Linked DNA regions of Coturnix japonica. Each later gene encodes a partner of the first gene's protein in a complex. Links are inferred from orthologs where the notes say so. Each region holds a gene or a part of one and is shown in the gene's direction. Other genes may lie near its edges. The genes, in order: KATNB1 and KATNA1.

Evidence for each region.
Region 2: the proteins of KATNB1 (region 1) and KATNA1 are in contact, whole or in part, in a crystal structure (PDB 5OW5), measured with the Mus musculus proteins. The link is inferred for Coturnix japonica from reciprocal best matches to the Homo sapiens genes KATNB1 and KATNA1. Residues at the interface, in NP_083081.2 of Mus musculus: Leu485, Val486, Asp487, Glu488, Ala490, Met491, Gln493, Ile494, Arg495, Gly497, His498, Met501, Phe502, Val504, Leu505, Thr506, Arg508, His509, Leu512, Asp513, Val515, Arg516, Trp519, Thr521, Asp542, Leu543, Ile546, Gln549, Lys550, Leu553; in NP_035965.2 of Mus musculus: Leu5, Gln6, Ile8, Val9, Val12, Arg16, Ala19, Leu20, Leu21, Gly22, Tyr24, Tyr31, Tyr41, Leu50, Lys53, Trp54, Gln56, Val57, Glu60, Ile61, Val63, Glu64, Gln67, Val68, Asp70, Ile71, Thr74, Leu75, Ser77, Phe78.

What each region holds. Positions count from the first base shown.
Region 1 is NC_029526.1:1,954,073-1,958,522, forward strand, and holds the start of KATNB1 (katanin p80 WD40 repeat-containing subunit B1), read left to right. Parts: upstream 1-1,481; 5' UTR 1,482-1,719; coding exon 1,720-1,759; intron 1,760-2,909; exon of another isoform or gene 2,910-3,723; coding exon 3,724-3,854; exon of another isoform or gene 3,855-3,879; intron 3,880-4,450. Other genes in the region: DRC7 (dynein regulatory complex subunit 7), read left to right, coding at 396-535, 687-777.
Region 2 is NC_029518.1:43,364,998-43,369,536, reverse strand, and holds the start of KATNA1 (katanin p60 ATPase-containing subunit A1), read left to right. Parts: upstream 1-1,659; 5' UTR 1,660-1,746; intron 1,747-1,750; exon of another isoform or gene 1,751-1,821; intron 1,822-1,896; 5' UTR 1,897-2,205; intron 2,206-3,969; 5' UTR 3,970-4,135; intron 4,136-4,539. UniProt on the Homo sapiens protein: Catalytic subunit of a complex which severs microtubules in an ATP-dependent manner. Microtubule severing may promote rapid reorganization of cellular microtubule arrays and the release of microtubules from the centrosome following nucleation.

The sequences.
Region 1 (4,450 bases):
AATACACATCTCATCGTGACAGGAAACAAAACTCCTTTACCTTTAAGGGAGCCCTAGACACAGCTGTGTCATTTTGTCATGAACATGTGAGATCAAAGAATGGAATAGCTCCAGGGTCAAATTTAGTCCTTGTTTCAAGCAGAACTGATTTGGTTCTCCAGTGTGTCTTAACTATAGTGAAGCAACGCATTCTGGTCTTGCAGCCTCTCACTGGTCCACGTGTTTAGATTCCCTTGTTTTCATCTTACCTCGGACTCACTACCTTATGAAAATAAAGCAGCTCTTATTTGTGGTTTCCTCTATCTTGGCTCCCTGAACTCCAAGTTGCACTTCTGCCTATCTGTGCTCCTCACTCTCCTTTTGATTACCCTGACTTCTTGCCACTCTCTCAACAGGAGGTAGAAGAGCTGCAGAAGAAGAACCAGCAGTTTCAAGAAAAGCGGAATCAGCTCAGTGAGGAGGAGGAGGCTGAATTCCTTGCTGGTTACTCTGAAACCATGTTTCGTATCCACATTCTAGCACTAAGACTCGACAGGTACTGGGAATGATGACTTGAAAAGCACCCAGGGGAACAGGGAGGTGTACCAGTCAGCATTCCTATCACTGAGCAATGCAGCTGTTCTGTAAACCATTCTACTCCACGTCCTGCTGCAGCTTTCCTCTGATCATTCCCCTTCTTGTTGTAGGGAAAAGCAGACAGCACCACAGCGGTACCTGGCTCTTGAGGAGAAACTGCGCAATGACCCTCGCATTGCAGAGCACCTCGGTCACCCCTGATCGCTTCTTTATTCCTTCAGATCAGACACTGGAAATTGGTGCTGAAGCCTTTTAAAAGCAGCCTTAAAAATGGAGAAGAGGTTTTCCTACTTGCCTGCAAGAAATCTTGCATTCTCATTAGGTTCTGCTATAAGTCTTTGTGCATCTATCTCTAGGATTTTAATGAACTTGTACCATCTACTGTCTTAAACAATCCACTTTCTTGGCTAATAATCATCCCCTGATACTAAAACACAGAAGCCAGTGTTGCACTGTTCCCATTGCAGAAAGCCACCAAGCAGAAGCAGCTCATAATGCTCAATCCAAACATCACAGGTCACTCAATGGACCATGTTACCCTTGCACAGGGTGGCAGCATTCAGGTGCTGATGGCAGGATGCTGCCTCCCTTTGTGTGCAGCGTCTGACACCACAGCGACTCCCTCGATGGAGCTGCGGGCTGTGGGGCCGCTCCCCCGGGCCTGACCTGAGCGCCGCCATGACACCCCCCCTCAGCACCCACAGACATGAAGCAACCTAGCTCCGCGCCTCCTTATTGGCTAGGCTGGAAAGGCTTTTCCAAGAAGCCGCGCTGCGAATGGTCAGCCGCTCTGTAGTTTGCATGGCAACCTCCCATCCCTCGTCTCCCATTGGTCGAGCGCCTGACAGAACCCTGGCTTTGCGGGACAGGCGGGAGGAGCAAGGGCGGCTCTGATTGGTGGAAGCCGGGCGCGGGCGTGGCGCGACCCAGGTTGGCGCTTGGGGGCCGGTTGCCAGGGCCCGGTTGCCAGGCGAGTCGTGCCGGGTGGAGGCGGCCCAGGCCTAACCCACCGGAGCGCACTGGGGCCCGCAGGCCGCACCGCGGGGATCGGCGGCGGAGAGGGGCCCGGAGCGGCCGTGCTGAGACAGAGAAGGGGTCGAGCCCCGAGACAGGCCCAGGCGTGGAGCCTGGAGGCGGCGGGACATGGCAGCGGCCGTCGTCACCAAGACGGCCTGGAAGCTGCGTGAGTGGCGGCGGGGGGCGGGGGGAGCCGGGCCCGGTTGGAGGCTGGGGTGGGAGGTGGCACCGGAGTGAGCCGCTCATCCACTGAGCGGGGGCAGAACAGCAGATTGCTGTGCAGAAATCGCAGGGATGGGAACCTCCAGCAGCAGATCAACCTTCTGTACCTCAGCCATGAGTTGGTGGTGCCCTCCCTCAGCGTGTTCTGAAGTGTTTATGGTGCTCGTGGGGGCTCAGTGCCATTGTGGATGAGGAGAGAGCCCACAGCCCGGCCCTATAGACAGGGGCTGGTTCCTCAGCAGTGACACTTAAACATCGCTGTATTACAAAGAATGAAGCCAGGAGGAGGAAAAGCACAAGGTGTTGGTACATTCCTATTGGTACCAGCAGTGCTCAGCATCTGTACTTTCCTCTTTTACAAGCGAGTTGGTCTCTCAGTACTAATTGTGCTGCTTGTTGCCTTTGGTTCTTTGCACATATACATCCTTTAGTGTTTTCTTAAGGAGGATTGGGGTTTCAACACAGAGCACACATACTTTCAGCTTGGCTCATCTCATTTACAGCCCCATTTACCTGTGTAATTTCAAAGGTGTTCCTCCAGCTGAAGTGAAAGTTGCACAGTTTTGCTTTCAGAAAAACACTCGGAGCCTGAGATCAAAGCAGATTTAATTACTGCTGCAGCTGTCTGATGGCCCTTTGGGTTAGTGGTGTGCTTTACACAGTCACATCGCCCTTCCCACCAGAGCAACTCCAAGGAGAGCTGAGTTGATTACTGCATGGCCCTTTTACAACAAACCTCATAGAATCACAAGGTTGGAAAGGACCTACAAGATCACCATTGCTACCACAAGGCACTAAGCCATCCCTCACAGCTCCTCATCCAGATGCTTCTTGAACACTGCCAGGGATGGAGACTCCACCACCTCCCTGGGCAGCCATTCCAGTGCCTGACCACGCTCTGAGAGAAAAAGTTCCTTCTTATGTCTAATCTAAACCTCATCTGGTACAACTTGTGGCCATTTCCTCGGGTCCTGTTTGTTGTCTTGGTGAAGAGGCCAAACCCCTCCTCATCACAACCTCCATTCAGGAAGTTGTAAAGTGCAGTGAGGTCTCCCCTGAGCCTCCTGTTTTATACCTATTAGGCCTGCAAATGCATTAAACTCTCAAAGCAGAGAGCAGTCAAGGGAAGAAATTGATAAATACATCTGCCAAAAGCTCCTGCCAAAATTTTGGGTGGATTTTAAAATCCATTATAAAAATTGATGTCTGTGCAAAAGGGCTTCTTTGGCTTATCTTTTGCCACACGCTTGTATTGTAAGGCTTTCTTTCCTAGAACTCTAGTGTTTCTATCAGCCCTTCAGTTCTTAACAATCTTTCCATATCAGCCACGTTTGCTTCTTTGTGCCCCTTTAAATGCCCATCCTTTATCACAGTGGCAAGCTGAATTGCTGAATTTCACTTTAGCACAGCCTATGCCAAAGCACAGCTCCACTTCTCCCTCTGATGAGTCTGGCTTTTTGCTCTGTCAGGTAACAAACTGAACTGAGTCCCTCTGGGGTTGGACACAGCTCTCCTAGTTAGAGGCCTTTTCTAGGAGTCTGTGACTGCTGCTTATCATTGCAGCTTCTGAAGCAGCTCTGCTGACTGAGACCCACCTCAGTGCAGAAGGAAAAGCGGCCTCTGTGAGCAGGTTGCTGCAGTCTTTAAAAGCTACTGCACTGCTGCTGGGGAGAGAAGATGCTTTTAGGAAGCCTGGCCAGCAAACATCTTAAGTACAGCAGACAGAGCCCAGGAGGACTGTTTGAAGCCAGATAATACTGTGACTTCTTATCTGAGTTGCATGCTGCTGCCACTTTTCCAGTGGAAACCAGAAAGGCTTTCTGGAGCAAGAATTGTTTTAATCTCTTTGGGAGGAATGGGGTGGAAAGTCCTTAATGCAGACCATCCTGACTGCTTCATTTTCTGCAGAAGAGATCGTGGCTCACAGCAGCAACGTGTCCTCGTTAGTCCTGGGGAAGAGCTCGGGCCGGCTGCTGGCAACTGGAGGAGATGACTGTCGGGTCAACGTGTGGTCAGTTAACAAGCCCAACTGCGTCATGGTGAGAGCAGGCCAGCTTCAACTTCCTGGGGAGGAGAGCGTTAATTCTGAGACAGGGAGGGTGGGGAACGAGGGAGGAGATTGCTGGGTTGTAGCCTGTGGGACTTGTGAATAGAGTTTATCAATGCAAAGCCAGATGGCCAGATGCTGGCAAAAGATTGGGACAGAATTTGGTGAGGCTGCTGCTCCAAGGAGGACCAGAGATGGCTCTCTGCTCCAACAGAACTAGTATTTTCTCAGATAATGAATATGGAGCCTTCTGTTACTGTGCTGCAGGCAATTATAGCTTTGTATGAGGTCAGCTTGTCTTGTAGTGTGAGCTACAGGGGCCGAATTTGCATCTTGGAGTTTGTCCTCCTTGCAGGAAACATCCCAGGCAGGATGCATTTCCACTGTCCCACAGACACTCATTGTCAGCACAAAGTTTTGAATACTGACTTGACCGTAGGCTGGAAAAGAATAATCCTGGGCACAGCACATTAGGAAGAGTAGGGTTACCACTAGAGCACATTTAACAGCTGTCTGTACTGTATCACTTTTCCTTCAAGAGGGTGTTATAGAAAAGTATCTAGAGCAAGTGTCTTGTTTAATTAACAA
Region 2 (4,539 bases), on another chromosome or scaffold:
TTACCCATGTTTGAAACGTCACGTTTCACACACTTTGAGTCTATTGAGATTCTTCTGGCTGCTGCTTAAAACATGGGTGTTTCACTGGCTACTCATCATGGGGATTGGTTTATACTGGCAGTAGAGAAACCAGCAGCTGTGGAATTATGCAGTGAGTTTTAGTTCAGATTACTTTTCTCTCTGTAAAGCATGAAAATAAATTTCTCATGTGTATCCTTGTATACATATAAATTGTATTTATAAGATATTCTATAATCATATACTGTATTGTAAATACTATTTGATATTCAGTGGCATTCTATCCTAGGGCAGGCCCTCTTGCTGTATCTTTTCTATCCTCAGTTTGTAATAGACTCTATAGAATATATGGCTAGGACACCACTGAGGCTGACTTGCCTTCTGCTGTTGCAAAGCTCTAAGCTGTGAGTGGGAATGATTTAGTTTCATTTAATATTGTTTAGCTGATAGGCGGTGCAGTGGGTGGGTTCTTAGAAGTTGCTGCTGTCACTGAAGATACAGTTAGGCATTGGTTTCAGATGTCTTTGGCATTTCAGATCAGACCTTTTAATGTTTGCTTTAGTTCAGCCAAAGCAAAAAGATGTTAAATTGGGTCAATGTGATAGTCAAACATTTGAATGCCTTAAGATGCTCTTGATAAAGGCACTATTCAAGTTTACTGATTTATATATATCTATATAGGCACATATATAGATATATTGTGTGTATATGTGTATATAAATAATGTCTTTTTTTGTATTATAAACATTCTTCTGATTGTCACAGTTCCTTTGGATCTTCAATTAAATACATAGACCACTGCACAATTCTGCTCAAGCATATTATTTATTATATGAGTGAACCTTGCTAGCCCCAGTCTGGGCGCTGTGAGCAGGGGGTTGTATTGACACAACACTACGCTTCATGTAAAGTTACAGCAGAACAGGAGACTTCTAGAACGTGTGGGCAGTATAACTGTCAGCTTGTAGTAATCAATTACACTCATTCAGAGTTTAGAAACTGGTTCTGTTCTCAGAAGCAGTTACTGTAGCGTGACACCTTCTGGGGTAGTGAAAAGTACAAGAATACAGTCACTGAAGACCAGCTTTCCGTTTTGGTTAATCAGATGAAATGTACACAGCAGTCATCCAAATGCAGTTGTTTGTTTTGTTGCTTTCTTTCCATTTTCTCTCCCCAGAATCCCCCCCTACTACAACAGATTTACTGATGAATAAAAGAAGTGTTTGTAACCTGTTCACAAAAGCATCCAATTTGCTGTTCAAGAGCTGAATTCGCTGGTGCTTTCCCTGCATTCTGCTGCCACTTCCATCATGATCATTAAAACGTTATTTATTATGCATAGATATTCCTACTCTGAAGTGATGCACCCTACTTCAGCTTTTATGTTTTGTTCCTTTCACGTTTAAGACAATCTGAAGAGCTGTAGGCAGTCACAATGCAATTAATAGGTATGCTCTGTGCTCACATAAACAGTCCGTTTATAAATCAGCACAATCAAGTAAGAAATAGGGACTGAAACTGAAATAAACAGCTCATGGGGGGGCAGCTGTGTCCCAGGTTGAACGCGGTGTGTGTGGGATGGACGCTGCAATCCTCTCAGCCGCGGTCCCCAACGGCCGGCGCGAGTTCCCCAACGGCCGCGGCGGGGCGGCGCCATGTCAGAGCTCGCGCACTCAGCCCCGCCGCTCTCGCGCTGTTCAACTGAGGTAGCGCGGAGTCTTTTAGCCCGTAAGCATTGGTGGTTCAGTGGTAGAATTCTCGCCTGCCACGCGGGAGGCCCGGGTTCGATTCCCGGCCAATGCAAATAAGCTTTTTAAAGTTATCTATACTTTAAATTCCTTTTTTTTTTTTTTTTTTTTTTTTTTTCCCCTTTTAAAGCACCGCAATCTCCTCTCAGCCAGCAGTAACTCTGAAACAGCGATGTTCATCGGGTGCCAACGCGATACCGATGAGTAGCACCGCCTGGAAGTGACGCAGCGGATTTGCCTTCAAACCGGCGGCGGCGGCAGGAGGCGGGCGGAGCTGGGCGGGGTTACCGAGCCGGAGGAGAGAAGGAAGGCGAAGGGACGAGGGAGCTGCTGCCGGGCTGTGGGCCGTGCGGGTGAGACCCGCGGCGTTCACTCCAACGTGGAGCGTCCCCGTCCTCGTCCTCCGCTGGCGGCCGTCGCGCGGGGCCGCCTTCCCGAGGTGAGGGCTGCCCGGCACCTGCCGCCGCGTGGCCGGGGCTGCGCGTAGGGCCGGAGGGTCGGGCCGGGGCTTCGGCTGTGCCCTCCGGCCTAAGGACCGGCGGAGAACGCGGTCGTTGTTGTCGCGACGTCTACGAGCACCCCGAAGTGCTCCCCGCTCCCCCTCGCTGCCGTGCCTTGGGCGGCCGAGGGACGCTGCGTGTCCCGCGGGGCTCCTGGCCGGGGCTGCCTGAGGAGCTGGATTTGGCTTTGTGCTCACTTCTCCCCACCTCCTGCCTTTTATTTATTTCTTTATTTATTTTGGAATGTATTTTAGATTTCCATGTTGCCTTTTCCTTTCAGCTGAGAAGTTTCCTTCTTGCTGAGAAGTTCGTTGTCGTGGTTCTGGTTGTCTCGGAGTGCTGGTCTCGTGAAACGGGAGCAAGTATCGTGGTTGTTTCAGAGTCTTATGAAAAGCTCAGTATTGAAAACACAGCGTTGTCCCTGTACGCGAGGAGGTTTTGCCTCTGTGGAGTGTGCAGTGTTTCAGCCGGCTGTCTCTCACTACTGTTAAACGCAGTGTTTGAGGAGCAGTCAGTGTGGGTAAACCCAGCGAGAGTCGTGTTTCTCAAGCAATCAGCAGGAGCACTTGTTGATAGCAGAAGCTGCTCACAGTGTGCGTTGTGGAGTGGGGTAGTAGATCTGGAAGGGATCTCAGAGGTATGTGGGCCCACCTATGGGACAGTGTATGAGGAACATAAATTGGCTCCCGAGAGCTCTTACTGCTGGTTTCCCCTTTCTGCGTTTATGGAGGGAACTTTGTGAGTCTCACATGGCTGCTGTGGTGTCAGAGCCTGCCTAACAGGAGTGTGAGCTCTGCCACAACCCTGCTGCTGGTGTAGGCCAGATGCATAAGTCTGACCAGAGGGTTCTGCAGGAATACAGTCCTTGTGTGGCTTGTGCTGTTCTGTATCGACAGAGGGTTGGGAGACCCACAGCAGCTGACAGCCTTTGGCTTTGTGCTTCCTTCCTGGCTGCTCCGGATCTTTTTTTTCCTCTTTGTGCGTGTACGGTGGGATTTCTTTGTGAAACATTGTTGAAATCATGTTGGACTCCCTAAATCCTTGTGTACCAGTGTGAAGAACTTTGTGTACTTCTTGATAATTTCATAAAGTTATTGCTGGAAATGATTCCTCCCACACCGCTCTTGACAGTTTCAGACCTTAGGAACATTTCAGGTGCTTAGAGCAGATGATAAAACGTATGGATGTGTTTTGTTACTGGAGGTGGGTTAAGGCGTGACGAGTTTCATTTGTATCAGTCTATGGGAACTGAGAATGTTTACAGCCAGTTCAGAGAGGGCGAGTGGTGTGTGTACATGCGTGGAATTAAGCTACAAGTCCGAGTTCTTAGGCTGGTTGTGTGGTGAGCTTTACAAGCCCATTGCTCCTCCAGTGGCTGTTGGAACGTAGATAATTTTGCAGGGGGTGATTCACGGGAAGGTTGTAGCTGATAAGTGTGTTCCTGCTGCTCTGACATCCGGCTACGTGACAGCACCAGGTATTTGTAAACACTCTGCAAATTAAGTGGTTACAAATTAGATTATTTTTCTCAAATTGTTTCCTGAATTTCTTCAGGTCTGGCTTAGCTCTGGGTCTGTGTGTGCTCACACCTCTCTCACATGAATCTTCTATGGTACTGTGAGCTGCCACAGCCTGCTTCATGCTGCGAACCTTAATCAGCTTTCAGATTAGTGCTCTAACTCCGTCTCCTGCCTGTCTTGAAGCCGCTTCAGCATCTGCAGTTGCAGCAAGCTGTGAGCTTGCATTAGTGGACCCACTCTGGTGCTGCTGTCTGCAAGCCACAACAGCGTGTCCAGACATGGGCTGAGCCAGCAGCTGTCCTGCACGGGAGGCACGTGTCTGGGAGCTGCTCCAACCTCTGCTCTTCTTGTGAGTCAACATGAACCAACGCATGCACTGTTTTATTACGCTCTGTGTCCCATCTCTGATATTCAAGCAGAATTGCTGTTCTGCTCTGATCGCTCTGCAGTATTCTGTTTGTGTACTGCTTCTCACTGTGTTTGAAAGGCTGTTTTGGCTCTGGTAACTTGCTGTTACTTGATTTTTAGAATGTTTATTAGTATCTTGCTCAACTTGTGATTTCAGAGGTGTTAGTCATGGGTTTGAATTCTCAGGACAGGCAAACAGGTGTATCTGGTAGGATGAGCACGGGTGGAAAAGCTTGCTCCTAAATATAGTAGTACAACTTTGGTAACATCTGTGTGATGATCCAGGCAGGTGTTGACAAATATCTTCAGGCTCTTTCTCCTGAGGTTAAAAAACGCAACAATACT